Callithrix jacchus: one gene and its partners. The protein of the gene in region 2 interacts with the protein of the main gene of each other region in a pairwise test. Links are inferred from orthologs where the notes say so. Each region holds a gene or a part of one and is shown on either strand. Other genes may lie near its edges. The genes, in order: NFE2L2, ATF4, GCC1, JUNB, BFSP2, golgin subfamily A member 8J and DISC1.

Region 1 (3,694 bases), on a different chromosome or scaffold from region 2:
CAGTGCTCTTAGCTATGAGAAGGGCTTCTCCCACACCTTCAAATATTGCCACCTCAGTAAGGCTCTTCCCATTTATAGCCTTATTTTTGTGCTGTGATGTTTTTACTGTTTTACCCCATCCACTTCTAACAGTGGAGTACCCTTGTTACCTCCTCTTCACTAGAATGCAAATTCCAGGGTAGGGGTATTGGTTTTTTTCCTTTCTACTTCAAACCCTGCCTAGTGTATAGTGTGTATTATTTACTTACAGGAATAAATCAATCAATGCGTTCATGTCAGTGTATAACATTTTTTGGGTTTAGATGTACCTGCTATTGAAGAGGCAAAGTATCCTCTTGATATACTTTCTCTATAACCCTGTCACTAGAAATTTAGCATAAAATTCTTTTCATATTTTCAAAGAAAACATTCTGAAGATGCAAAACATCTAAATGTATTAAATAGATGATTATGGAAAACACTACTGTGTGAATAAACTCAAAGGAATTCCAAAGAAATAATTTTAACAGTCATAATATTCCTTTATTAGTACCAACTCTTAAAATTTTTTTTTGCCAGAGCTAAACAATTTAATATAAAAAATGCCATTTTTTTGTCCATACAGTATTTATAAAAAAGTACATAGTGGTTAGTTTTGCAATAATTTGCTTTTAGCCGGATGTCATTATCATAAATCTATGAATATAACAAATGACATAACAGTATAAATAAGTTTTTGTAGTATTTACACTTACATAGAAACTAGCCCAAATGGTGTCCTAAGAAATTGTTTACAGTTAAAGTGAAACTACTGATTCAATATACTGACATTCCAATGCTTTTTAAAGTTTCATATTATTTTCTATACTAGTTTTGGCTATAATTTTGCATAGAATTACTTATAAAGTATGAGCATTTCACATCACAGTAGGAGCTTTTAGTATAATAGTACAAAAAACTAGCTCAAAAAAGATCAAATCCTCCTAAATCTAGTTTTTCTTAACATCTGGCTTCTTACTTTTGGGAACAAGGAAAACATTGCCATCTCTTGTTTGCTGCAGGGAGTATTCACTAGGAGAATAAGGTTTTCCATCTTCATCACGCAGCATGCTGAAAACTTCGAGATACAAGGTGCTGAGTTGCTTTTTCAGCAGGTGAAGGCTTTTGTCATTTTCTCCTTTTTCTTTGAGCAATTTTTCTTTTTCATCTTTCAAATGATCTAAATCTTGCTCTAGTTCTACTATATTTTCCAGTTTTCTTTTTCTGCAATTCTGAGCAGCCACTTTATTCTTACCCCTCCTACGTATATCTCGAATTAATGCAAGTTGAGCTTCATTGAACTGCTCTTTGGACATCATTTCGTTGAAGTCAACAACAGGGAGGTTAATGATTTTTTCTACAGGAAATGGGATATGGAGAGCTTTTGCCCTAAGTTCATCTCTTGTGAGATGAGCATCCAAGCGGCTTGAATGTTTGTCTTTTGTGAATGGGGTTTTTTGATGACCAGGACTTACAGGCAGTTCTTTCTGTGGTGTGTTCTCACATTGGGCATCATGCATGGGAGTGCTATGCCCCTGAGATGGTGACAGGGATTGTACCACATCCCCAGAAGAATGTACTGGTTGTGTTTTAGGACCATTCTGTTTGACACTTCCAGGGGCATTATCTAGCTCTTCCACCTCAGAATCACTGAGGCCGAGCAGTGTGTCTCCATAGCTGGAAGATTCCACTGAGTGTTCTGGTGATGCCACACTGGCACTTGTGTTCAGTGAAATGCCAGAATCAGAATCATTGAATTCTGCTGTGCTTTCAGGGTGCTTTTGGTTGAAAGCTTTGCAAAGTGATAGATCAGAAACATCAATGGGCCCATTTAGAAGTTCAGAGAGTGAATGGCTTAAAGTAGCAGGTGAAGGCATGCTGTTGCTGATACCAGATTCGGCTATGAAAGTAGAATAAAATTCATCACCAAAATCTGTGTTGACTGTGGCATCTGAATTTAATGAGTTCACTGTCAACTGGTTGGGGTCTTCTGTGGAGAGGATGCTGCTGAAGGAATCCTCAAAAGCATTAAGAAAATGTGGACTGCAGTTACCTACTTCTTTTTCCATTGAGGGGATAGATGAGTAAAAATGGTAATTGTCAACTTCTGTCACTTTGGCTTCTGGACTTGGAACCATGGTAGTCTCAACCAGTTTGTCATTTTCAATGTTAAGACACTGCATGAGAAAGAAGTTTATACTATATAAATCAAAGTTAATCCACATGCAATAAATTTAGATAAACTTCCTATCCACATTCTCTCCAGGCTTATCTCTATAATTTATTACCCCTGTAATTCAGAGATAATTCTCATTTCTAATACGTATTCATGCCTAAGTATACGGATTATTTTCAGAGTTCCCACATCAGATGTCAGGTTTATAACATTCTATCCTTGGCTGGGCGAGGTGGCTCATGCCTGTAGTCCCAGCACTTTGGGAGGCTGAGGTGGGTGGATCACAAGGTCAGAAGTTCTAGATCAGCCTGGCCAATACGGTGAAACCCCATCTCTACTAAAAATACAAAAATTAGCTGGACGTGGTGTAGCCCAGTTATAACACCTGTAGTCCCAGTTATAACACCACGGCACTCCAGCCTGGGTGACAGAGTGAGATTCTGTCTCAAAAAAAAAAAAAAATTCCTCAGGATATCCAACCCACTTAACTAGCATGGGCAGCACTCATGACTAATTTAAAGGCACCCTCCAATCGTTCCTATAAATAGGTGGCACATAAATAATCAGAATGACTAAAGGGCACTAAATATAAAATAATATCTTCAGTATTACATTCTATTTTGGTTACCTGTAACTCAGGAATGGATAATAACTCCTCCCAAACTTGTTCAATGTCCTGTTGCATACCGTCTAAATCAACAGGGGCTACCTGAGCGACAGAAGTTTCACGTGACTGAGCCTGATTAGTACCAATGAAGACTGGGCTCTCGATGTGGCTAGGAATATCAGGAACAAGTGACTGAAACGTAGCCGAAGAAACCTAAAATTGATAAGTCATTGATTAATGAGTCTTCCACCAACAAGATGAGTAAGCTCTAAGGCACCGTCACGACACAAAGTGGAATCAGCTGCAGTTCCGTGTCTCTACTTACTAACCAATCATGACTCCTGTTTGTAAATAATGAAACAAGTCTTTTTCCTAACCCTACTGACTCACATTTACTATTTGCTGGCCTAATAGTTTCAGCCTAAGCATTTGAAAGTAAGCTTTAAAATGTTTAAGTATAATCTTTAGGATTTAGTTTATGTAATATCTAGCACAGTAGTACTAGATAAAACAGATTTATTAAAATTGTTAACAAGTCTTCGTTCATTGCCCAGCTTGTTCTTTACTCACCAAAACCTCTTAGATACTTGTAACAAATGAGTTATTTGTTTCCATGGTTATACTGTCCATGTTTCTGGCTATGCGATAGTAAATGATTTTGGTTTTATATTATGTGAAGGTTTTTTTTTTCTTAATTGTAAAGTTATCTATAGACTAAGGTTTCCTTGACAGAGTATTTCCTTGGTTAAAAAATTTCCTCCTAAAAATGTTTACTCTTTTAAATGGAGACTTACTGAAGGGACTTACATAGAATATGATTGTTATTATATAGTTATGGAGTTTTGCTATTTATCAGTTGTTTTATACGTCACCTCATTGTCATCTACAAACGG
Region 2 (3,932 bases):
TTCCACCCCCAGGTAAGGAGAAAGAGGCCTGTCTCCAGCCCGCGTCCTGCTTCAACATCAAGTCCCAAAAGGAGCTGTTTCTCAGAGGCTTCTGCAGAACTGTTTAGGTTATAAGTGAAACCTAATCCTACGTGCTCACCTCAAGGAGTGTGCAACCTTGCCCAGGGTTTTATGTGACAGGATGTTGGCACGAAGGCCTTGAACACACAGGTGAAGGCCCAGGCTGTTCCTCCCTTCAAACCGCCTCCCTACCTGACCAGCACTCAGCTCTGGCCAAAACCCAGCTTGCTACAACCAGCTCTAGAGAGCCCCATCAAAGTCATCAGCCACCATGGTCTACACCTAGCAGGGATAAGCAAATCCCACCCTGGGTACAAATCTAGTCTTAGACTGCCCTCCTCCCCAGATTGCACAGGGCACATTAAGACCAGCATGGGGCAGGCGGATGGTAGCGGTTTCACTCTGTTACTGTGCCAAAAGGAATTACACACATGGAAGTATTCACTACAAAATAATTTATTCACACACACAGCTACAGCGAGAGACTCCTATGTACAAGCACCTTGCGCTCCTGACTACCCTCAACTAGGGGACCCTTTTCTTCCCCCTTGCCTTGCGGACCTCTTCTATCAAATCTTTCAGGTATTGGATCTCCTTGGCCAAGGAATCTGCCCTCTCTTTTAGAGCTTCGTTCTTCTTTTCCAGCTCCTTACACTCACCAGTGAGGGCCTCCTGCTCTGCCCTCTTCTTCTGGCGGTACCTAGTGGCTGCTGTCTTGTTTTGCTCCATTTTTTTCAGTTTCTTATCCAGTTTCTCACCCTTTACTTTTGCTGCTACCATTTTCTCTCCAGGAGGGTCGTAAGGTTTGGGACGGGCAGAGTCACAGAGGACACCTGGAGATGTGAGGCTCCTATTTGGGGAGCCCCTGGCAGAGGGGCTATGCTGGGGGGAGCCCAAATAGGACTCTGGGCTCATACAGATGCCACTATCATTATCTGAGGGGGTGTCTTCCTCCTTTATGCACTGCGGGATCATGGCTATGTAAGCAGTGGAGTCTGACTTCGTATCTCCTTCAGAGATACCTACTTCACTGCCCAGTTCTAAACTAAAGGAATGATCTGGAGTGGTGGAGAGGACCCCGGGGGATAGGGGAAGAGGTTCCAAGAAGGTGAAAGGGGCAACCTGGTCGGGTTTTGTTAAACTTTCTGGGAGATGGCCAATTGGGTTCACCGCCTGGGGGGGCTCCTTATTAGTCTCCTGGACTAGCGGGGCAAAGAGGTCACATGTGTCATCTAACGTGGCCAAAAGCTCATCTGTCATGGTTTCCAGGTCATCTGTAGCCAACAGGGAATCAAAGTCAAACTCTTTCAGATCCATTTTCTCCAACATCCAATCTGTCCCGGAGAAAGCATCCTCTGCAAAAGATACGAGTGATGGGCCCAGTGAGTCAGACACAAAGATAGCAAGCCCCTAACCCCAGATCCCACCTGGATGTGGCTGGTGGCAGCCTACTCACCCTTGCCGTTGTTGGGGGCACTGACCAACCCATCCACAGCCAGCCATTCGGAGGAGCCCGCCTTAGCCTTGTCGCTGGAGAACCCATGAGGTTTGAAGTGCTTGGCCACCTCCAGGTAGTCATCTAAGAGACCTAGGCTTTCCTCAGCCCCCAAACCCGACTGGTCGAAGGGGGACATCAAGTCCCCCTCCAACACCTCGCTGCTCAGGAAACTCATCTCGGTCATGCTGCGGTGCTTCGCTGGAATCGAGGAATGTGCTTAATTCGAAGGTGTCTTTGTCGCTTACAGCAACGCTGCTGCTGAATGCCGTGAGAAGCCTGAATAAGAATCAGAAGCCAAGTCCCATTACGTTAGCTGATCTAAGAATTTCATCTTTCCACTTATGAGGTGGGACGGCTAAACCGGCCATCTAGAGACAGGGCAGATGTATTCCCCCCCCAGCCCCCCTCCCCCCGCTTCCAGCTCAGGTTCCACAAAATGGACGATCGTGGAGGACCGGCCATTCCCTCACTGGCCAACAGGAAAGCGCTCCGTCTCCGCGTCCAAATACGGCCAGGGCGGCTACGCCCCGCCCACCGCCCGCCCGTGACTCACGCCCGCGGCGCCGCCCTGCGGCCGCCATCTTGGCTTCTGCCACGTTTCGCGGGTGGGACAGTTGAGACCCTCAGGGAAACGTCTCGAGGTACGAGGGTGGCGAGACCCCCGGGGAAGCAGTCCTGGCACCTAGCTGCGCTTTCCCGGCCCCGGGTACGCGAGCGTCTCGGAAACACCCAAGCAGAGACTACAGCGTCCTTGGCGCTCGTAAAATCGCTTCCCTCTTGGCGGCACCGTCCCGGCCCCATGCCGCGCCCCACCAGCCCAAAACCCTCGCCGACCCAGGGAGCACGGCTGGATAGCCCGCCCGGATACTCACGCCATGGCTTAAGCCGCTGGGGTGCCGCTGCAGAGCCTGGTGCTGCTGCCGCCGCTGCAAAGGCCAACGCTGCCGCAGGCACTGCTGCCCCTAATACGCCATGGTGGCCTTGGACCCTGCGGGCGGGGAGGAGGGAAGGCGCGCACGTGCGTGAAGAACTACATCTATGAGAGAGAGAAGTAGAAATGGCCGCAGCCGCCGCCCGTCGGCCCTTTATAAAGTTCGCCTCCGCTGGAACACAGCACAGACTTATCCTTCCGCAGCAGCCACGTGACCGTCTCCTCCCGTCTGCTCGCTTCCCTCCCTCTGACGCCCCCACCACCTATGTCCGGGCGCAGCTGTGACAGGAAAAGGAATTTGTTTCTATGGCCTCATGAAAGGAGAGAGGCGCACTACTTTATTAGTTTCTATGATTAAAGAGTCCGTTCTTACCTTTGCCGCCGGAGCGCGGAGTGATCTCTCAGACACGCCTCGCTTCCGGTGTCGGCGCAGTGGGCGGGGAGAGGTGGTTTTCCCACAGAGGGTTTTCATTGTGAAGGCCGAGGCCGCCAGGTTATCGCGCGAGGTGCTGGTGTAGAGCGCGCGTCGAGCTGATTGGCCCAGGCGCGGTGAGTCATATATACCTCGAGCTCTTATTGGCTCAGGGCCCTAGGTGGGTGGCTGCTGCGAGAGGGAGCCCAGGGCTTGCGCGGGAAGGGCCGGGGTTCGGGGTTGTCTGCTCTGTCTCAGCCCCTCCCGCCTGCTAGCCCGCCATGATCGCGCCGACTTCTGCCCCCAGGTGGCCTTAGTGCCATGCGACCCACAGCGGCCTCGAGGCCCGGCCCCAGCTGTCGGTCCCGCCGCCCTCAATGGAGGTCCGCGCTGGCGGCTATGTCGCCGCTCCCAGCCTGCGCGCTTCTTCGGTGCACGCTGCGCTGATTTATGGCCTGCGGAAGCCGCGGGGTTACCTGCACCAAGCCTGAGTCTTCCAGAGACCCCATCCATAGCCAACATGGTGCTGTCCTCGGAAGGCTGAAGGGGTCTTAAGAGGGCGCCCCGTCCTCGCCTACCTGCCCGCAAAGGCCGGCTGAGTCTGCATGGCCCCTCCTAAACTCTGGAAAGGAGCCGGGAAGACGCGCCATCCTGTCGTCCAACCTGGGTTTTTACAGTTCTCATCCGGCTCAAGTGCAAGGCTGCTACGGAATTGCATCAGAGGGGAACTTCTGGTGGCCTCAGGTTCCGTTCTGTTCCCCTAGGAACAGGATTTTTCTTCGCTGCCGTCTCTCTGGGGTAGTTTCGATTCACTCCGGATTCTGAACTCCCCAGCCTAACCCGCTTTTCAGCAGTCACGTTCATGGCCCTGGGAGGAGAGGCGCCTGGGAACCCACGGCCACTTGCTGGGGGTTGTGCGTTGGGAAGGGGTAGTCTGTTTAAAGAATACAAGAAACCTCCCCATAGTCCCCCAGCTCCCTCCAGTCAGGCCCCGCGAAGGTGGAAACCTTCCGCCTCCATTTCACTGAGCC
Region 3 (4,300 bases), on a different chromosome or scaffold from region 2:
GCTCCTTCCCCAGATTACCATCTTTGGTATTCTTACTTTTTAGGACCACCTGGGCCCTCATCTTGTACCTCTCAAACTCTTCCTTCAGTTGTTTCAGCTCCTGTTGGTAATAGAGTGCAGTAGCCTTCTCCCCATCAGCAGTCTCCGAGCTGGTCATTATCTCCAGGTCACAGAGCTTCTCCACATCCAGGGTCACCTGGCTTTTCCTGGCTGCAACCTGCAGCAGTCTCTTCAGCTTCTCCATTTTATCCTTCAGGACATTGACATCCAGACTAGACTCCTCTCCATGGCTGTCTAGAGGGGACCTGCTGGAGGCTGCTAGAGCCAGTGTCTTGTTCTCCAGGTCCAGCTGCAGAATACGCTCCTTCAGCTTCTGGATGGCCAGCTGGTCCTTCTGCTTGGCTTTCTCGTACGTGCCCAGCAGCTCCGACACCTCAGATATTTGATTCTCCAGGGCTGCCACCCTCTGTTCTTCCACCTGAGATTGCTGACGGAGTTGATCCTCTGCAAGAGCTGTCTGCAAAATAAGGGAAGAGAAATAATGCATCCACAAAAGCCCCACAGCAAACTTTGAGAAAGCAGGACAGGGGAGCAAAAGGGTCACAGGATTGGAATGGCCTGACAAGAATGGGAAATAGGGATTTTTCGGTTGATTCAGGAGCTAACAAAAGTTCCTATGACCTGCCTGGGTTCTGCAAGACATATTATACTAAAAAATATTAAGCACCTTGGCATATCTGCCATTCCATTCTGCTTTCCACCTAACTCACATATAATGTGTGTCACTGTTGTTTTTCAGGTGCTTCCTCAAATCTTAAGAAATCATACAAGATTTTTCCTTATCTAATATTCCTAGTAGTTCAAAACTGAGCTGGAGCTCCCTCACCACATTGGAAGGAAGCCCCCTTTCTCCACCAGAAAGGAGGCCTATTCTGGAAAATAGCATTTCTCCAGAATAGGCAAATCTTAAGTAAAGGCAATGACAAGAGGTTACTTCTGAGAAAATCCCCCTTTGCCTTCAGCCACCCTCCCTAGCGGCACATACCAACAGAAAATACACTACCTTTTACTGTACAGCTGCCACTATACTGCTTCATAGAACACAGCTGGTAAGATGCCAATGCCCAGAAGGGCAGGGCTGACTGGCTCCAACCCAGCCTACACTGAGAAGCTCCACATCCTCCTGGAAGCTTCTACGTCAACACCACATAAAACAGCACTTCCCGGGACTCACCAGTGGAACTTTTCAGGTAGCATCAAAAATGACAGTACAAACACTTAGCTCTCACTAGCAAAGGAGGAAAAAAACCCTAGTATTTCCCACTTCAGATCAATGACTATGTTTGAAAGAGAGGTGGATAATTACCTTTTTCATTTCCTGCTGTAACTGGGCCTGGAAATGGCCCTTAAGGCGGGCGGCCTCTTCCTGAAGTTCTTGCAGCCGGGGGTCTGGCTGATTCTTCTCATCTCGAATGGCCTGCAGTTCACTTTTCAGCTCCTCCACCTCACGGGTCAGCTGCTTGGTCTGAAGTTCAAATCCTTCCATCTGTTCAGCTGCATATGATCGTCCTGCCAGGGCTTCTCGGGTCTCTTCTAACCTAAGCTCCAAGTCCTGGCGCTGGGTCCTCTCCTCCTGCAGCAGCTTCTGGAGCTCACGCAGCATCAAGGCATGGTCACTCTGCTCTTGGGCCCGATCATGCTGCTGCGTGATAAGCCGGGCTTTGGTTTCTGCTATTTGCTCCTGCAGCCCCTTCAATTCTCCCTCCAGGCGAGCCCTCTCCTCCTCTGCCTTGTTATTGGCATCCTCTAAGTCCTGTTTCATCTTTTTCTTGTCAGCCAGGTAAGAAGCCTCCATGCGGGACTTCTCCTGAGTGACTGTGGCCAAAGAACTGGTCAAAGTAGCCAACTGAGTCTTCAGCTGGTGCAGTCTTTTGTCCACCTCCCCACCCGCAAATGGCCCATCCCCACTGCTACTGCTAACACCACTCTCTGACCCACTGGCCTCTTCGGACTTCGGAGGTGGTGGTCCACGGGCTGGTCTGTCATCTTCTATCCCAAACTCGCCCTTGGTGCTGGTGAGACTGGCTGCCGTATCCACGCTAGTGGCGGTCCCAGTGCTATCCTCACTGTGAGTGGAGCACCGGTCATCCACAAAGTCCGGAAAGGCGACGCCTGGAAGCTGGACACCTGCGAGGCCCACATCTGCCTCGTGGGATACCGACAGCACCTTGATGCTGGCCTCTAGCGCCTCTTTCTCCTTCAGCAGGCTTTTATAGGCACGGACCACATCCTTGAGCCGTGCCTGGTACTGGAAAAGCTGCTTTTTCTGCGTCTCTATAGTCTCCAGCAAGTCTTTCTTGCTCGGGCCGCCACCGAAATTCATAGCAAACTTCTCCATGAAGGTTCTGAACGGACTGCTCCACTTCAGCTTTCCAGTAGCCCAAGAGAGGGCTGCGAAGAGGCAGGCAAGGGCTTCAAGAAACAGCCAGCGGGCTGTCCGGCGGCGGGCCGCACACCTGCTGCACCCAGTTATCCCGGACCTAATGCGGATAGGCGGAACCTACAGACAAAAGTGCCCGCCTGGTCCCAAGCCCGGAGGGTGGGGCGGGTACTACCCTGGAGGCGGGGCGACGCTGGCACCAGAGGCGCGCTCGGCCAGGGCTCGTCCGCGCTGGCCCAGAAGCCGCTCCACACTCTCCGCTCTGTCCAGGCCACAGGAGCCCGGGCCGGCCCCGCTCGGCCCACGTCGGTCAGGTGCTCACGCAGAGCGGCGTCCCATCACGATTTCCTAACTACAACTGCCTGCCCACTACCGCGCTTCCGTGTCCGCTGGAAGTGACGTCAGCTAGGCGCCGCAAGCCCCGCCCCCAGTGGGCGCGAGTTAGGCGGAGCCCAGTCCGCCAGTGGGTGGGCGCGGCCTGTTGAAAACGCAGTAGGGTAGCGAGCGGCCAACAGGTTTGGGAAAGGAGAAACAAGCAAAGCCGAAAACATCAGAGTGGTCTGGGTTTTGTGAGAGCGCCTAAGCTTGACCTCGGGCTACGATCAGCGAGCGACAGAGGGCAACGTCGCACAGCGTTCTTAACAAACACCTAGGTGAACGACGCATCCAAGGATTTGGGGGCTCAGGTCCCATATCCCTAAAAGGCAACAATTAAAGACTTGCATATAGACCGCGAAAACTGGAGTACTCTAGCACAAGGCTTGGCACCTAGTAGGTATACAGCGTAATAGTCAGTACGCTTCCTTAGTTCTGCTGAGTTGATTCAACAAATATTTATGGAGGGCACTCTATAGCCGTGTCTATCCTGAGTGCCAGCTATGTACAAGGAGCGCACAAGAGTTTTGCTATTTCGTCTTCACGATAATTATTATAAGCACTATTTTCATTAGCACTATTTTACAAATAGGGGAACATGAGGCAAAAAGTTATACGTAACATGCCCAAGACCACAGAGCTAAGAAGTTTAGTTCTATCTGAATCAGTCTGATTCTCAACGTATTATGTGTTGTACCAGACGATAACACCATTAAGAGATACGACCTTGCTTTCAGGGAACTCACAATCTAGTGAGGAACTAGACATGCAAACATGTCCTGCTATAACACCGGTATGTATTGGTATATTCAAAGTGGTAGGAAAGTTAAGAGAGGAAAGAGGCCTGGCTCAATGAAGAATGGAAGGCTCTTGGGAATAATACTTTGGGATTTGAAGTATGAGTCCTGATTGTCCACCTAACCAGAGATCAGGGAAACCAGCATTCCAGGCAGGTGGGAAAAAAATGCAAAGACCTGTAGGGTATCAGAGTTTGACTCACCCAGAATGCATTCAAAAGTTTAGGGTATGTGAAGGAGGGGACAACAGAGGGGCTGGCATGAGAGGCAGGGACCCAACTTATGGCATTTAAATTTTATCTTGGGTGATAGTAAGGCCCTAATGGATTTTAATCTGAAAAGTGGAATGTCATCAAGGTTTGTATGACATGGTGGAGGGAACAAGGGGCAGGAGACCTGTGAAGAGACTCAGTCATGGGGAAGAGAAGGTAGTGACAACAGAGATGGAGACAAAAGAGGCTGATAAAAGAGCTAAACGTAGACTTGACCTAACTTGGTGACCACTAGTTGTTATTATGTTGGGACTCTCTAAAATGTACTCTTCAGCCTTGGAAAAGCCTTCTTACGGATGCACGTCTATGACTGAAGAGAAGAGGAAAGTCATGCGCTCACTCATTCCTGTTTCCCAAAGTCTGTGCTTGTTACAGACTTTGCAGGTAGGGATGGGGCAGGCCCTGGCGGTCTGTTC
Region 4 (3,814 bases), on a different chromosome or scaffold from region 2:
CTGGACCCAGGCCTGGGGCTTTCCGTGCCCGGGCAGCCGCCTGCCCGGGAAAATCCCGGCCCCCTTCCCGGCGCCGCGGCCCTGCCCGGCAGAGCGGGGGAGGGGATTCCCGGAATCTGCCCAGAGACCGCGGTCGCGTCACTGGGCAGAATCGGTCCTTATATGGGCAGCGCTTCCGCTGCGTCAGCGGGGAAAGCCCCGGCGCGCGCGGCTGGGCGGGGCCGCGCCTGCGCACTCCGCGTCTCGCGCAGAGCTCCCTGCCTTTTGCTACTGGGCTCCGAAATCGCGTCCCGCGCCCCGCGCCCCGCGCCCCGACCATCCAACCCTGGAGATCAGGAGGCGCGTATAGGGTGGGACTCCCGGGCGGGCCACAAGATGCCTGCGCAGAGCTGAAGAGGGGAACACACACAGGACCGAGCCACTTACAGCACTGAGCTGGGGCAAACCATTGCTTTTTTTTTCCCTCGGCCCTCCCAGCTTGGAAAAAAAGACAACAGAAATTAATAAAGAACCAATTTTTTTTTTTACTTAAATAGATTCAATAAAAAGAACAAACACACACACAAACACAAACACGTCTTAAAATAAACTCTTTAGAGACTAAGTGCGTGTTTCTTTTCCACAGTACGGTGCAGAGAGGGGAGGACAGGGGGCGGGGGTCCCCTTCCCAATGTCCCCGTGGGCTTGAGTACCGGACGGCGGGGCCAGCTCCGCCGCGATCGCCCCCTTCTCCCCTCCCTGTTAAATACACAAATATATTATATTCAATATGAATCGAGTCTGTTTCCAGCAGAAAAAACATACAAAAAAAAGTGGAACCGGGGGGGCTTGTAAACGTCGAGGTGGAAGGACTGGGCACAGGGCGGGAGGGCCGGAGTCCAGTGTGGTTAGCGGCGCTCCCAGGTCCCAGGGTAGGTGCCCACCGCCTGCCCCCTAGACCCCAGTGGGAGGCTTGCGCCCAGCCGTCCAGCGAGGGGGTGTCCGTAAGGGGGCAGGGGCGCTCAGAAGGCGTGTCCCTTGACCCCAAGCAGCAGCTGACAGCCGTTGCTGACGTGGGTCATGACCTTTTGTTTGAGCTGGGCCACCTGCTCCCGGAGGAGGCCGGCGGTACTCGACAGCCCCGCGTTCTCGGCCTTGAGCGTCTTCACCTTGTCCTCCAGGCGCGCGATGCGCTCCAGCTTCCGCTTCCGGCACTTGGTGGCCGCCAGCCGGTTCCGCAGCCGCTTGCGCTCCACTTTGATGCGCTCTTGGTCTTCCATGTTGATGGGGGACACCGGCGGCGTGGCGTCCCGGCTGCGCGCCTCCGGCACGGTCTGCGGTTCCTCCTTGAAAGTGGAGGCGCCGCGGCCCAAGCCCAGCTGCGCCGGGTGGCCACCGGCAAAGGGCGGCGCGTGTGGGAGGTAGCTGATGGTGGCCGTCGGGTACGAGCTCCCAGTCCCGACAGCAGCCCCGGCGCCTCCTGAGGACGCAGAGGCTGGGGAGTAGCTGCTGAGGTTGGTGTAAACGGGAGGTGGCTCCGGGCCGGCGTAGACGCCCCCGGGCCCAGCCGGGGGCCCCCCGCTAGCGCCCAGGGACACGTTGGGGGGTGTCACGTGGTTCATCTTGTGCAGGTCGTCCAGGGCTTTGACAAAGCCGTCGGCGAAGCCCTCCTGCTCCTCGGTGACGCCTCCCCCTGCGCCCCCCGCACCCCCACCGCTGCCACCCCCGCGAGGGTAAAAGTACTGTCCTGGGGGTGTAGGCGTCGTCGTGATCACGCCGTTGCTGTTGGGGACGATCAGGCGTTCCAGCTCCGAAGAGGCGAGCTTGAGAGACGCGCCGGTGTCCGAGCCCTGACCAGAAAAGTAGCTGCCGCCACCGCCGCCCTCTGGGCCGGATCCCCGAGCCCCAGGCGCTTTGAGACTCCGGTAGGGGTCGGCCAGGTTGAGCGCCAGGCCGGGTTTCAGGAGTTTGTAGTCGTGTATAGAGAGGCCACCGGGGGCCCGGCCGTATCCCGCAGGAGTGTATGAGTCGTCGTGGTAGAAGGGCTGTTCCATTTTAGTGCACATCCGGGCGGCCCAGGCGGTCGGGGGAAGGTCCCTGCGGGGCCGCCCCGGGCCTCGCTGCAGCGAGCGCCGCGCTCTCCGCTGCGGTGGCCGGACTGGGTACCTGGTCGCGCGTTCTCCGGGGCTGGCGCGGGCGGGGAGCAGCCAGCCGGAAGCTGTACGCAAAAGCTGTCAGGCTTCTCGAGTCCCCCTCACCCTCTTCGGCGCGCTAGCTTTCCTGGAGTGGTTTCCCCCAGCTCCCAGCTCCCGGCTCCCTGCTGGCTCCGAAGCTGGTCCGGCCGCTCTCCAGGTCCCAGCCGCTCAGCCTGAGCCACACGCCTTTATACAGAAGCTAGTCAGCCACGGAAGTGCGCTCTGATTGGCCGTCGCCGGAGCCGGGCCCCCGCGCCCCCCTCCTCGAGCGTGGGGAAGGGGAGGAGGCGGCTCGCGTCACTGTCAGGAAGCGCGTGTCCTTGTAAACAGCGGCCACGGGCCGGGTGGCTCGGCGGGGCTGCAGGGGGAGGGGCTCAAAGGACCCCGGGGTCCGCGTGGAAGGAGGTGCTGAGGGGCCTGGACACATGAGTGAGGGCGCTCAGGGAGGAGGATGATTTCCCTCCAGCCCACTGGGACAAATACCAGGACCTGGTACGGAGCAAATGGGGTGGAGATCCCAGGGTGTTCGAAGAAACCCTGAGGTACCCAGAGTACGAGAGGGGTGGAAGGACTGACAATTCATTGGGAGACCCCAAAAAGCAGAAATGAGGGTTACTAACGGTAAATCGGGAGGGGTAAGGAGAGACCTGACACAGGAATTGACTGGGGGCCCCAAGCACAGAGGGATGGAGTACTGGAATTTTCACAGGATGGAGGAGAGGAGAGATCAAAAGGGGACAGTGGTGGGCTGCATGACCCATTAAATTGCAAGAAATGAGTAGGGGTCCCGAAGCCCATGGGAGGATCTGAGAGCTCCCCATACGTGGGAAAGAGGAATTAGGAGAAATCTAGATATGCAGAAAGCGAATAAGGGTCCTGCTGTACACTGAGGCAGGTAAAATGTGCGGGGTAGAAGATGTAGACGTCTAGCAGAGATTGGGGACCACTGGAGTTATCCGCGAAGCCTGGATGAAGGAGAGATAGAAGGATCCGGATCCATCTTCGGAGCAGAGAAGACAGTAAGAGGGTACTCAGTTGACGTGAGGAGGGGGCTTTGGGGTCCACGCACCCGGACTGCTGATCTTCCATGACTGGTGCTCCCCCTCGTGGGTGACCCCTTAGGCATCTGCATTCCCTGTCCCCCATCCTAAAACTCTTCCCCTATTGACCCTGGGCTTTGCCCGACACCCTGTCGGCGCCTGGACCCAGCCCGACGGCTGGGGCGCGGTCGCCCAACCCCACACTCCCTTCCTTAGAAACAGGCTGGGGAAAGAGCGCCGAGGCAGGAAGTGTGGCAACAGCCCCGGGGGAAGGAGCCCGGCCCTGTCTCCGTCACTCGGATCCTACGGGACCTTGCGCCCCGCCCTGGGTCCCGCCGCATCCTGCGCCTCGGAAGAGGAACCTGGGCGTGCGAGCCCACGCGGAGGCCCTGGTGCTTGGAGCCGGCCCAGCAGCAGAAGCCTCCAGCTACCATCCTCTCCCCCCAGGCAATGGTTCCTCCCGCGGCGCCTGCTGGGGATCGCCGAGGCAGACAGCTTGGGGACTGTTCCATTGGACCGACAGCGGGAAACGCAGCCCAAGAGCTGGGCCTGGTCGCCATGGCAACAGGCGGGAGTCCGCCGGCAGGACTCAGGGCCGGG
Region 5 (3,990 bases), on a different chromosome or scaffold from region 2:
GCAGAGGGGGCAGATCACCTGAGGTCAGGAGTTTGAGACCAGCCTGGCCAACACGGTGAAACCCCGTCTCCATTAAAAATACAAAAATATTAGCCAGGCATGGTGGCAGGCCCCTGTAATCCCAGCTACTTGGGGCTGAGGCAGCAGAATTGCTTGAACCCAAGAGGCAGAGGTTGCAGTGAGCCAAGATCATGCCATTGCACTCCAGCCTGGGTGACAGAAGGAGACTCCATCTCAAAAAAAAAAAAAGAAATAATAACTCCATTTTATTGATTGTTCTGACTCTATCTTCAAGTCCATGTTTTTTTAAAAAAAGAAGAAAAAAGAGACCATTTCTCATACCCAAGATCTCGTTTATAGTCACTTAAGAGGAAAGGGAGCCATGTGGGAGCCTGATCCTCAGTGACAGAGGGTGCGTGTCTTGGCGCATGGCTGTGCTGCTCTCACAGGATTTTAGAGCTTCCTAGTCTGTACTCTGCTTGTAGGCAGGAGCCAGGCATCTTATTTATCTATGGATTTGCTAGAATATCCAAGCATGATTACACCCATTTGTAGATAATGAAACTGAGGCCCAGAGAAGTCAGTAAGTTGCAACAGCCCTTGTAGCTCTCTGGAGCCAGAGCAAGTCAGTATCTATAGAGTATAAACTAAGTTTTTGTGGCCCTACTTTTTGACCTAGAAATCGGGACACCTGGTTTCTCCTGACAAGTCTGTCTGGCACCTGAGTGCAAGCGATTGTCCAGCAGATGCTGACATAGTAGAGTATCCAGGGATGTTCTGGTGGTTGTTAGGGCACAATGTTTGGAAACAGGACAGTTGTGAAGAATCCTGGAGGAATGGCTGCCTCTTTGATTTGACAGGCGTTCAGGGCCTGGACTGTTCAAAGATGGAGCAGCCCAGATGGAGGCAAGCGGAACAGCAGCACCGGGGGAGAGCCTGAGAGGACAGTGCTGTTTATCATGTGCTCTGTGCTGTCAGTGAGCACTGACAGCATTGCAGGAGAAGCATCCTGGGATGAAGCAGGAGGCAGGAGGGGCAAATGGGGAGTCCCTGTGTGCACCTGCTCAGCATCCCCCCAGCTACACACAAATAACATTTTGTGACCTCCTCTTGGGAGGCTGCATGCTGGACTCTAGGGGCCAAGGGTCTGAGTTGGTAGTCCCTGGTGGGTTAGAGACTGATTTTGCTCAGAGGGATCCCAAGGCCAGCATCTGGAGAGAAAGGGGAGGAGAGAAGCCAGCCATCCACAGAGAGACCAGCTGAGAAGTATAATGCTGGCTGGAGTCCCAGCATTAGAACCACAGGCTGCAGGCCAGACATGATGGATGAGCTCCAGGCTCTGCAGAAATCACCCTGGAGAGTGGGAAAAGCAGGGCTGACCAAGCAGGGGAGAAAGATTAAACCTGGGCATCCTTCCCTGTCCAGTAAGATAGCCATTAGCTACCTGTGGCTATTTACATTTAAATTAATGAAAATTAGATAAAATAAAAATACAATTCCTCAGTCTCAGCCACATTTCAAGTGCTTGATAGCCATATATGGCTAGTGGCTGCCAGATTGGACAGTGCAGATATAAGATATTAATATTTCCATCATGCAGAAAGTTCTACTTGAATGTAAATTATTTCATTAATATATTTTGTATTGATTACATGTTGAAATAACATTCTGGACATATGGAGTTAAATAGGCTATAATATTAACTTCACCTGTTTCTTTTTACTTGTTTTACCGTGGGCAATAGAAGCTTGTCAATTACCGATGTACCGATTTCTATTGAACAGCGTGGTTGCAGGTGGATACAGGAACACGCCTCCATTTATTCATTGTTTTTAATACCATGTCCATCTGATGGTATTTGATTGGATAATGGCTGTAAAAATCCTTTCTCAACAGTAAAGGTCGCTGAGGCAGCCCAGGGTAATTGGGCAAATGTGACTTTGGAGACACAAAAATTCAGGTTCACATCTCATCTCCATCCCTCCTCTAGCTTTGAAGTCTTGGGCAAATTACATGCCTCAGTTTCTCATCTCAAAAATGTAATCAATGAATGATCCACTGCATATCATTTATTTGAAGGGTACAGAAGATAGTGAATAGTACACGTACGGGGCTAGCATGGGCTCCTAGTAAACCTCGGTAAAAAGTGGCATTGTTGTTATGATTAGCATTTTAAGTGTGAAAGTGTAGGGGTTATGGTCAGTTTTTCTGGCCTGAGAAAGACCAGAAAAACCCTACCCCCTGCCTTCAGCAGCCCCTCCCAGCCTTCTGCAAAGCCCTTGGCACAGCCTGGACACTTACCTGCTGGCAGCTGCTGGCCCAGGAGGCCCGAAGGGCACCCCAGTTTCCCGAGCGCGTGGCCTTGCTCTCCAGGTGCATCCGAAGTTGTGTTTCCAGTTCCTGACTGACTTGCTCAAGGGCATGCACTTTGGCCATATATTCCACCAGGCAGCCCCCTAGGTCCTCAACAGCACCATGGTCCCGCTCCAAACCTGGAGCCGGCATTGTGGCCAGGCCTGAGCTCCGCAGGCCCTGAAGGAAGACACTGCTGATGCCGAGGGCCCGGCGGGTCACACGGGCACCCAGGCCACCTATGCACCCACTGGGTGCTGTTCCTACATAGACCCCAGGTACTCGGATAAGGCCACTCATGGCATTGGTCCTGGAGGCTGGGGGGCTATCCAGGGAGGATGATGACCGCGGCCCCCTGAAGGATGCCCTGTGCCTCTGCAGGGGCATGCTGGAGCTGGCACTGGTGGGCAAGTCCACTACTACTTGCCTCTCACTCATCACCCCTTCTGCCTCTGTGGTGCCCAAGTGGGTTTACAGAGTCCAGTGGCTGTTGGTTTACAGCCCCAGCATCCCTGTGGCCTGGTCACGGGCCTCTCTGGAATCTCCCCTATCCCCGGGGCTGCTTTGTCTGCTGTCTTCCATGAGTTTCCATCATTCACTGAGCTGAAAGAGAAATGGGCACTGGCCAGGGCTGCGTGCAGAGAGGCACTCATGCATTCTTTGATGTAGGGTCATGTGCCCAACCTCCCAGATTTTTCTGCTGGTGGTGGGGGAGGCTGGATCAGTGCAGGCTGTGGGGATAGATCATCTGGGTTCGTGCACTTTATTACCTAAGAGTGGGCAAGGCAGGCATCAAGCAACCCCATTCTACAGACGAATAAACTGAGGCTCAATGACCTCAGATCACAAGTGATCACTTGTCCCAGAGCTCACATTACAAGCTAGGACTCAATCCAGCTATTTCAGGGCTAATTTCAGTGGTTTCTACATCCCTATGTGTGCTGGCACATGTGAATGTGAACACATGTCCACACAAGAAGTAGAGGACGAAAAACGGCAGGACGCAGCCCCAGGGACCCAAGAGAAAAGCCCCTGCTTGTGGTTTCCTTCCCCCTCTCTCAGTCCTGGCAGCAGCTTCAGGTCCTTCCCTTGCCTCTCTCCTTCCTTCGTCATCTCTGTCCTCAGATTCTCTGTTCATCAGCTGCTTGTTGTTGGCCAGGATACTTCCTCCCTCTGGACCTCACTTTCTGAACATCAGCCTGAGCCTCTAACTCTCTGATGTGCCAGATAAGGACCTTGGGCAAATTCAGGCCCCACACATTATGTTCTGGCCATTCTCTCCACCTCTGCTTCTCTATCTGTTGGAAAACTGATACATAAAAACGACAAAGAGAGCATTTTCTGGCAAGCTCTCCAAGGGTGCTTCAAGTTAGGTATGAGGACACCCCTGGGTTTTAACTTTTGATCTTGGCATCCACTAAGCCATCAAGGGTCACACCTCAATCAGTTCTCTAGGATCAGAAAGGTTCCTCAAGTTCCAGGATGACAACACGGGCCTAAAAATCTCTGTATTTAAGTTTTAGCCTGGAGAAATCAGGTCACCAAACCCCAGAGCTGGATATTTTTCGAGATGCTGTAATGTAGGAACGTACCTCAGGTGAGAGAAGGAGAAGGGAGCCAACCTCTAGTGAGTGCCAA
Region 6 (4,208 bases), on a different chromosome or scaffold from region 2:
ACCACTGCACTCCAGCCTAGGAGACAAAGTAAAACTGTCTTAAAAAAAAATAGAAGAACCTGGCCCCATGCCTTTTGGGTAAAGAATAATAGACTTATACTATTATCCCCTGTTGCAGGTAAAAACAAACAAACAACAACAAAAACCGAGTCCAAGTTATTGGGCCAGGATCAGTGTGACAAGACTAGAACACACAACAGTCTGACTTCCAAATGCATCTCTGTCAGGACATTAGATGAACTCTACAATCACTTTTTCTCAGATTGGCCCCTCCCCAGCCATCCCAGTAATGTCTAAAAAGTAAATATTTTCCTATATTACCAGGAATAAATGTTTAGAAAATTATATAAGTATGGCACAATAGCAACAAAACATGAATAGGGGTCGGGTGCGATGGCTCATGCCTGTAATCCCAGCAGTTTGGGGGGCCAAGGCAGGCGGATCACAAGGTCAAGAGATCCAGACCATCCTGGCCAACGTGGTAGAAACCATGTCTCTACTAAAAATACAAAAATCAGCCGGGTGTGGTGGCGTGCGCCTGTAGTCCTAGCTACTCGGGAGGCTGAGACAGGAGAATCGCCTGAACCTGGGAGGTGGAGGTTGCAGTGAGCCAAGATCGTGCTACTGCACTCCAGACTGGCAACAGAACGAAACTCCATCTCAAAAAAAAAAAAGAAAGAAAAAATATATAAATGGGAATAGAAATAGTCCTAACTGGAACTATTGACCCATGTGGGGAAAGTAAACAACTTGACTGTGAGACCGCCTGTTGCTAGATCGAAGTGCTATTGTAAAGTTAGTTCTCTTCCAAACTAATGTGTAGACTTAGTTATTCTAGTCAAAATACTAAAAAAAAAAAAAAAATTTTAACTTAGAATTGCCAAGCAACAGACCTTAGCATATGTAAGAATTTAATATATGATAAAATTAGCACCACAAATCAACGGGAAAATAATTCTAGGGAAAAAATAACTATGTAGGAAAAAATATTCCTCGTCTTCCATCTTACATCAAAATGAAATCTAGGTGGTTTAGCAAGGTAATTAAAAAATATATATTTTAAAAGAGAGCTAGAAGAAGGAAAAAGAGACAGAAAATAAAACAGGTGAAAAACAGATCTCCATGTGGTAATCCACTTCCTTTTTTTTTTAAAGTATACAGACATATATGTTTTAAAGTTTATTTTTTAAAGCTTTTAAAGGAAAAGCCGACCCCTCCCTCCTCCCGGAGTGGGCGGCCCCTCCCCTCTCTGAGTGGGCGGAGACAGCAGTTTCTTGGGCAGCTTCCCGCATGACACCACTGGTCCTGTGGTCCCTTTCATCTTTCTGATTGACCAATGGGCTTGGAGCATTAAGGCCACGCCCCCTATTTATGTTCTAGTGGGGCCCTGGTTACGCCTCCCTGGCTCAGTCACACAGCTGCCTGGTAGGTGACTGGAGCTGTTTACCAGTGCTTGCCTGATTTTGCTGATGTGACCCCAACCCCGCCTCCCTCCCCACCCCGCGATATCAACGTCCACAAAGTCTCGAGATAGCCAATTGGCAGAGCCAAAAAAAAAGGTAAGACGTACCAGGTCATGGCCCCCCAACCCAGCCACAGATCCCCTCCGATGGCAAGACTGCTGCCAGAGTCCATACCACTCCTGAGGCACACGGGACTGGGCCCCCCAACCTTGGAGCCTCTGAGCTCCCCCCACCAAAGTCTTGTCAGTCCAACCCATCCTTTCAGCAAGCAGCCCCGTCCCTGCCATCGCCAATCACCCCAGAGTGACTTTGGGCGGGTGACTCCTGGGACTCCCCACTCCATACGTGGCCCTTGCTTCCTGCCTCCCCAGGATCAACCTCCCTGGGCTCCTTGGGCTTGTGTCTCCAAGGACGTGGGTCCCCCAGCCCTAGGCCCCACCCTCACCAGTCATCCCTGGGTGACTTTGGGCTGGTGACTCCTGGGGCTCCCTGCTGCAGACTCTGCGCTCCCCTCCTGCTTCTCCAACCTCAACCTTCCAGGGCTATTTCAGCTGGCCTCTCCAAAGACCTGGGTCCCAACCCTGTGTTTCCCTCCCCATCATGGAGCAGCAACTCTGGCGTGGCACTGATGTGGTCCCCTCCCCCTGGAGTAGAATGTAATGATGTCACCATCCCTCTACGAACTGTCATTACTGTTGCAAGACCTGGCTTTGATCTTATGACCCAGTCCCCTAAGGGTTCTCATCCCATTTCTGGTTCCTCTTGTCACAGAACACATTTCCAGCTGGCAGGGGAGTGGAGACTATGGGACCTAAGAGCAAGAGCTTTCAGGCTGCCTCACTCCCTTAACATAGACATTGACAGTGTGAGAAGCCTACACTTCCCCTGTGAGCTCAAAATGTTAACAGTTTCTCTGGGTGGCAATGGAAGAATGGGTTTGGCTTGGTTTTCTTCCAGGCTTCTGCTCTCCAGAGAGACTTTAACATTTTGCTCTGAGTTCTCCACCTCATATTCGAATTCTCCATAGTTCTGGGACCAACTGCCCTTCAGTCAGTGGTCTCTGGAATGAGATCTCCTCATCTTCTACTGAATAGATCTTGGGAAACAACTTGACAGCTTGAATCTTCCTCATATCATCTCAACCTGGGGTACTTCTGAGTGCCACAGGAAAACTGTGGGATATCTTTCTGAAGTATCAGTTTCTCTTGAGTCTCTTGAGAAAGGAAAAAACAATAATGTACTTAGGGAGGACAGTCACATGGGTTTCTAAGAGTATACCCGACTTCTCTCTGAAATGAGGCTTGGGCTGTCATCTTGCTGAGAAATACCCAGATTTAACAGAAACGCTGCCTTCTGCCATGACGACACATCGATATAAAAGTGTGAGCAGTACTGGCGCACTTCTAACACCAACAGATGTGTGAAGGTGTATGACTGTAAAACATACAGTGTACAGGTCCTGCTACTTAATGTTGAGTTTTTCTACCTCTGCCTCTGGTTTTGGTCCCTGGAAGCTGCTGATTCATGGGAAAATCCCAGAGCTTGGAGTCAGAAGACTGAGTTTAAGTTCCAGTATTGCCTTTTTTTTTCTTTTTGCCATATCAGTCCCTCTCAGTCTCTGATTGCGACAACACCTTGTACAGTTGTTGGTGGCATTAAATCAGATGGTGTATAAGAGTGTATTGTAAAAACTGTAAAGGGGGATGTGGCTGTTGGGGCTGGTGGTTCTCATGAGTATTACTGCTCTTCTTTCCCACAGTTAAAAGAATATCAGATGAGGAAGAGATCTGGTGTTGACGAAGGAGCGAAAAGAAAATTGAACAAAAAGGCCAGTAGCCCTGAGTCAGCCGCCTATGGTGGTTGCCAGTCACCTGGGGATGTGAGTCTTGGCCAGCCAGTCTCCTGGGGATGGGGGGAGAGGGGATGCCCAAGGGGCAGTGGAGGGTAATTGCTAAGATTGTGGATGGACTGTCAGGTACTGGTTAAGAATTCTGGGTTTGAATCCTGCCTCTCCATCTGCTAGGGATACGATTTAGGCAAGTTTCTTGAGCTCTTTGGGCCTCTCTTTTCACATCTGTAAAATACAAGCGGCATTGTTTGAATTCTATTTGTGAAGTTTAAGTGAGATTTGTGATTGTCAGTGTTTTTATGTTAATCTCCAGTACATGGCCTGCTGTAAAGAGCCAGGACACCCAGGAAATGGTCGTTGCTGTTTGATTTTCCTCATCCTCAGTCTCAAGGGGAAGCCAGGCCAATGAGAACAGCCACTTCCCATCAGCCTGTCCCTTCAGCAGTCACTGAAAGAGCCCCAGAGTGGGAGGGTGGGGAGATAAGAACCACGAGAAAAGCTGGCACAAAGGGGTTATGGGACAAAGGGTCCGAGATAGGCAGAACAGAAAATTTTGCCAGTTGATGGGAAAGAAAGGAAGTCAGAGGTCTTAGACACTGAGGGGGACAGAACATTTCCATGCACACTTTCATCTCTTGTAGTCAGAAATGGGTATGCACACAGAGGGCCCTGTGTCATGTACTGCTGCGAAAGATATGGAGGTAAGAGGCCCTGCGCCGAGGTGCAGTGACCCTGCAGGCCAGCCCTCCAGCCTCCTTCCACAGCGGGGGCTGGGTGCCCTTCTGCCAGCTGAGACAGCCCCCATACACCATAGCCCTAATGATTGTTCTCTCTACCTCCCCCAAGTTCTCCTCCAACTCCTCATCTCTGCATGCACCTCGGAGGCACTACCAAGA
Region 7 (4,189 bases), on a different chromosome or scaffold from region 2:
CAGAGACACCAAGCTATTTGTCTACCTTGCTGAGATTACAGTAGTTTTTAATGTTCATTTACTAGTTTACAGTTTTCTGTGCTTCCTGTAATGAGCAAGCATTGCTTCTGGAAAAATAAAAACCCGTAAGATAAACTTAATTTAGGAAACAAGTAAACTAGGAATTGTTTCTGCAGCACAAAGAACATTCATGCTCCTCTCAGAAGTTTCTGCTTCCTCTGGTGGCATCTTGGGTGAGCAATGAGCTTTCTGCAGAAAAGTCCTGCGGCCCAGCCCTGCAAGGTAACCACGACACCCAAAGTCTGGATCCCTGTTAACACCTCATGTGGCATCCTAAAGGTTCTGGCAAATGAATGGTAAAACAAAGCATTAATCCAGATACCACTTTGAGATTTGCAATGAGATCTCGCCTTCTGTTCCTTCAATGTTTTAATAACTTTTCTGCAAATTGTCATCATTCATTATACAAGAAGGTAGTTTAAAGTATATTTTATAAAACAAGGCTGAAAGAAATTAGAATTACCCCAAAGCCTCTTTTGCCAGAACTAACAATTCAGTCTTACATTTTGGGTCTATAGATATGCAGGATGGAAGCTGGGCCCAGTGGCTCATGCTTGTAATGCTAGTGCTTTGGGAGGCCAAGGTGGGAGGAATGACTGAAGCCAGGAGCTCAAGACAGCCTGAGCAACATAGCAAGACTCCATCTCTAAAAAAATAATTAGCTCGGCATGGTGACATGTGCCTGTAATCCCAACTACTCAGAAAGCTGGGCCAGGAGGATTGTTTGAGTCCAGAAGTTCAAGGCTACAGTGAGCCATGACTGCGCCACTGCATTCCATCCTGAGTGACAGAGCAAGACCCTGTATCTCTTAAAGAAAAACAAAAAGTTACCTAAAATCTAATATAGGTCTGTTCTGAATCACGGCTCCACCCTATAATTTCAGTTTGGCCAGTGGCCGAGAACACAGCTGTGAGTGGCACACACCAGGGTTCTAATCCTGGCTTTATGCTCAAGAGCTCTGTGAGCTTGGGAACCAAGCAGGGTGACCTTGAACCTTATCTTTGTCATAGGGAAATGAGGACTGTCATCCCAGTCCCATACAGATATGGGGAGGAGTTCATCAGAGGAATTCCTAATGAAATGTCTGGCACATTTTAAGTTCTAAAAATGCGCAGATATTATTCTTCCCTCCTAGTACTATCATGTGTGATATGTGCTTAGTGACTCACACTCCGCACGTAAGGTGCCTTCAGATCTTTTACCTCATTTGATCCTCAGACAATGCGATCAGAACAAAAGGCAGTAATTACTACCCCCATTTTTCTTTTATCTTTTATGTAAACAGATGAGAAAGCAGGCTCAAACTCCAAGAGCCAGAAAAGCTGCATGTCTCTTGTCCAGGGCTCTTTTTCCTCTGTGGCACAAAACTGAACCTCAGACGACTTCATGTATCATGCCGAGTGTAAAAAACTACATTTATTTTTAAATGTCCTGCTATTCCTACATTAATAAAATCCAACTGGTATTATCACGTTCCTCCCAATTATTTAGAGTTTGCTTAGTAAAAACAGCCACTAAGGTTTTTTGAGTGCACGCTGGGTATCTCAAGCATTGGGTGAGGTGCTTCACGTCCACGGTCACAGTTAAAGTGCATAACAACACTATGAAGCAGGTACTGTGATCGTGTCCACTTAATAACGGGGAAATTGAGGCATCGGTAAGTCCAGGATTGACATGCAGACTGTCTCCAAACCCCAGCTCATGTGGTCCTAGTGTTGTTCATCTCAAGTTTGTCTGGACGATGATAACACTGCAAAGTGAATTCCCATACAACAAAGCTAACGACACAGGGAGGCCAGATTATAAGTGTTCTCTTTTACAGTTCAGGAGACTGAGGCTCAGGCTTAAGTGACTGACCCAGCCCTGTCCTCACCCAGCAAGGACACAAGGAAGCACTCCCTAACTCCAAATTTCACTGACTTTGGAAAACCTCACATTCCTTTGCGAATATTTTAAGAGTGATGTTGAAAAGCAACCATCCACTCAGTGGGCATCACTAAGAGCTGACCGCGAGACCCGCGCTCCGGCGGTGGAAACCGAGCAGTCTCCGGCTTGGGCCGTGGGCGTGCCTAGTAGGAAGTGGGCGGTGGAACTGATTTCAGAGCAGCCCGTAGCCGAGCCACAGGCACCAGTTCCTGGTCCCTCTCCCAGCCTCCTCCCCCTAGGTGCCCGAAGGGGTGGAACCAGAGATCCAGGGTTTGGGGATTAAGGTGGGTGGGACGTCCCCTGTCCCGTGGGGGCGCAGGCTGGGGAGCACCGCAAGGAGAGTGAGCGCGGCGCAGGTGTCCCGGGACGGATCCAAAACCCAAGCACGCCCTGGCAACCCTCCCCGGTCACCAGGACACGCAGCGGGGGCGCAGGTCAGGGGATAGCTGCACAGTCCTGGGTCTGGGACCTGGCCCGGCTCGGCGCTGGCACCGGGCTAGCAGCCCAAGACTGGCTCTTCTCTCAACCCCGCACGCCGCGCGTCCTGCCTCAGTTTCCTCACCTCGAAAGGGGTTGTCAACAGAGGCACGCCCCGACCTACAAGACTTCCTGGGGGCCAGAGCGCGCCCTCCCTGCCAAGACCCCCCAGGACATGCTAGGACGTGGTGGCAGCTCCCTTACCTGCGCAGTGGCCCACGCCGCCGCCACAGGCGGCCGGGGCGCCCTGAGGACGCCCGCCTGGCATGCTCCTCCCGCTGCCAGCTCCTCCCGCTCCGCCCGAGCGGCTGCTGCTCGCTCCCCGAGGCCAGAGGCGGGGGAAGGGAGCGGCGCGCAGGACGGAAGTGGGGAGGGGGCTGGCGACGCAGGGGGCGGCTCCTTTCTTCTCCTTTGCCAGGCCGCGGTTTCCTTTCCAGGGTTGGCCCCTCACACGCGCGCGCACACACACACACACGCACGCACACACACACGCACGCGCACACACACACGCGCACGCACACACACACGCACACACACGCGCGCGCGCACACACACATGCACACACACACGCGCGCGCACACACACACGCGCACACACACACGCACGCGCACACACACGCACACGCACACGCGCGCGCACACACACACATGCACACACACACGCGCGCACACACACACGCGCACACACACACGCACGCGCACACGCACACACACGCACACGCACACGCGCGCGCACACACACGCACGCACACACACACGCACGCGCACACACACGCGCACGCACACACACACGCACGCACACACGCGCACGCGCACACACACACACGCGCACACACGCGCGCGCGCGCTCACACACACGCGCACACACACGCACACACACACACACGCACACGCGCGCGCACACGCACACACACGCACACACGCGCAGCTGGAGCGGGCGGGCCAGCGGCCCTCACAGCCGGTTTCCGGGATCTCGGGACCTCAGGAAGTTTGCTTTCACTGTGGCTCATTTCTGGAGGAAACGAGGGGAAGTGCGGGAGGCCTTCAGCACCGGGTAGAGGAGGGCGCCTTCCAGACGCGTGATTTGAGAAGTGACCACACAGTGATGGAGAAGATGGAGGGATGTGAGAGACTCAATTATACAAAGTGCGGAGGGTGGGGGGAACAGTGGGGATGACCGATGACCCTGAAAAAAGATGAGTGGCAGCAGATGTTTAGAAATGAGATGGAATTCCAATTTCTAGCATCTTCCAGCCGCTCTGGAGTGGTTCCCGGACACAGGCTGGTTTCAGGACACAGGAGTCCATGCAAGCTTGCTCCTAGGCCGCTGATTCAACCCTTCTCTTTGGTTCATTCAAGGAAGCTACTAGAGCACCCCCTAGGTAGCACCTGCTATATAGGACAATGGGTACAAGGAAGGGCTACACGTGGGCTCTGTGTCCTTAAGCAGCTCCCCTCCAGGCCAGAAGGAGAGCACGGGCATATGAAACCAAATCACATCAGGAGCTAGAATGTGCCATGTACCAGAGGCTTGGCACAAACCTTCTTGCAGGTGGCTCAGGGATAGGAGGGAGGGTTGTGAAGAAGGATTGGGGAGACGTTCTACAGGAAAGGGAAGGCTCTCCTCAGAACGAGAGGAGTTACAACTAGAGGAAGGCTGAGGTCCTTCAAAAGCTGACGATCTTATGAGTGAAAGCATACAGTTGTGCCTAAAATTCGTGTTTTG

What was found.
Region 1: the proteins of ATF4 (region 2) and NFE2L2 interact in binary tests that used the Homo sapiens proteins (3 or more experiments, as listed by UniProt). The link is inferred for Callithrix jacchus from reciprocal best matches to the Homo sapiens genes ATF4 and NFE2L2.
Region 3: the proteins of ATF4 (region 2) and GCC1 interact in binary tests that used the Homo sapiens proteins (3 or more experiments, as listed by UniProt). The two-hybrid records come from large-scale screens. The link is inferred for Callithrix jacchus from reciprocal best matches to the Homo sapiens genes ATF4 and GCC1.
Region 4: the proteins of ATF4 (region 2) and JUNB interact in binary tests that used the Homo sapiens proteins (3 or more experiments, as listed by UniProt). The link is inferred for Callithrix jacchus from reciprocal best matches to the Homo sapiens genes ATF4 and JUNB.
Region 5: the proteins of ATF4 (region 2) and BFSP2 interact in binary tests that used the Homo sapiens proteins (3 or more experiments, as listed by UniProt). The link is inferred for Callithrix jacchus from reciprocal best matches to the Homo sapiens genes ATF4 and BFSP2.
Region 6: the proteins of ATF4 (region 2) and golgin subfamily A member 8J interact in binary tests that used the Homo sapiens proteins (3 or more experiments, as listed by UniProt). The link is inferred for Callithrix jacchus from reciprocal best matches to the Homo sapiens genes ATF4 and GOLGA8F.
Region 7: the proteins of ATF4 (region 2) and DISC1 interact in binary tests that used the Homo sapiens proteins (3 or more experiments, as listed by UniProt). The link is inferred for Callithrix jacchus from reciprocal best matches to the Homo sapiens genes ATF4 and DISC1.

What each region holds. Positions count from the first base shown.
Region 1 is NC_133507.1:52,142,925-52,146,618, reverse strand, and holds the end of NFE2L2 (nuclear factor erythroid 2-related factor 2), read right to left. Parts: coding exon 3,674-3,694; intron 3,015-3,673; coding exon 2,823-3,014; intron 2,196-2,822; coding exon 969-2,195; 3' UTR 501-968; downstream 1-500.
Region 2 is NC_133502.1:190,271,470-190,275,401, reverse strand, and holds ATF4 (cyclic AMP-dependent transcription factor ATF-4), read right to left. Parts: upstream 2,622-3,932; 5' UTR 2,431-2,621; intron 1,835-2,430; 5' UTR 1,743-1,834; coding exon 1,517-1,742; intron 1,416-1,516; coding exon 586-1,415; 3' UTR 501-585; downstream 1-500. UniProt on the Homo sapiens protein: Transcription factor that binds the cAMP response element (CRE) (consensus: 5'-GTGACGT[AC][AG]-3') and displays two biological functions, as regulator of metabolic and redox processes under normal cellular conditions, and as master transcription factor during integrated stress response (ISR).
Region 3 is NC_133512.1:119,385,751-119,390,050, reverse strand, and holds the start of GCC1 (GRIP and coiled-coil domain-containing protein 1), read right to left. Parts: upstream 2,801-4,300; 5' UTR 2,399-2,800; coding exon 1,367-2,398; intron 518-1,366; coding exon 1-517. UniProt on the Homo sapiens protein: Probably involved in maintaining Golgi structure.
Region 4 is NC_133523.1:11,614,676-11,618,489, reverse strand, and holds JUNB (transcription factor JunB), read right to left. Parts: upstream 2,337-3,814; 5' UTR 2,046-2,336; coding exon 1,002-2,045; 3' UTR 501-1,001; downstream 1-500. UniProt on the Homo sapiens protein: Transcription factor involved in regulating gene activity following the primary growth factor response. Binds to the DNA sequence 5'-TGA[GC]TCA-3'.
Region 5 is NC_133518.1:50,728,877-50,732,866, forward strand, and holds the start of BFSP2 (phakinin), read right to left. Parts: upstream 2,801-3,990; 5' UTR 2,791-2,800; coding exon 2,302-2,790; intron 1-2,301.
Region 6 is NC_133509.1:69,816,190-69,820,397, forward strand, and holds the start of golgin subfamily A member 8J, read left to right. Parts: upstream 1-1,408; 5' UTR 1,409-1,559; intron 1,560-3,222; 5' UTR 3,223-3,237; coding exon 3,238-3,342; intron 3,343-3,953; coding exon 3,954-4,013; intron 4,014-4,158; coding exon 4,159-4,208.
Region 7 is NC_133520.1:53,273,396-53,277,584, forward strand, and holds the start of DISC1 (disrupted in schizophrenia 1 protein), read right to left. Parts: upstream 2,801-4,189; 5' UTR 2,733-2,800; coding exon 2,669-2,732; intron 1-2,668. UniProt on the Homo sapiens protein: Involved in the regulation of multiple aspects of embryonic and adult neurogenesis. Required for neural progenitor proliferation in the ventrical/subventrical zone during embryonic brain development and in the adult dentate gyrus of the hippocampus.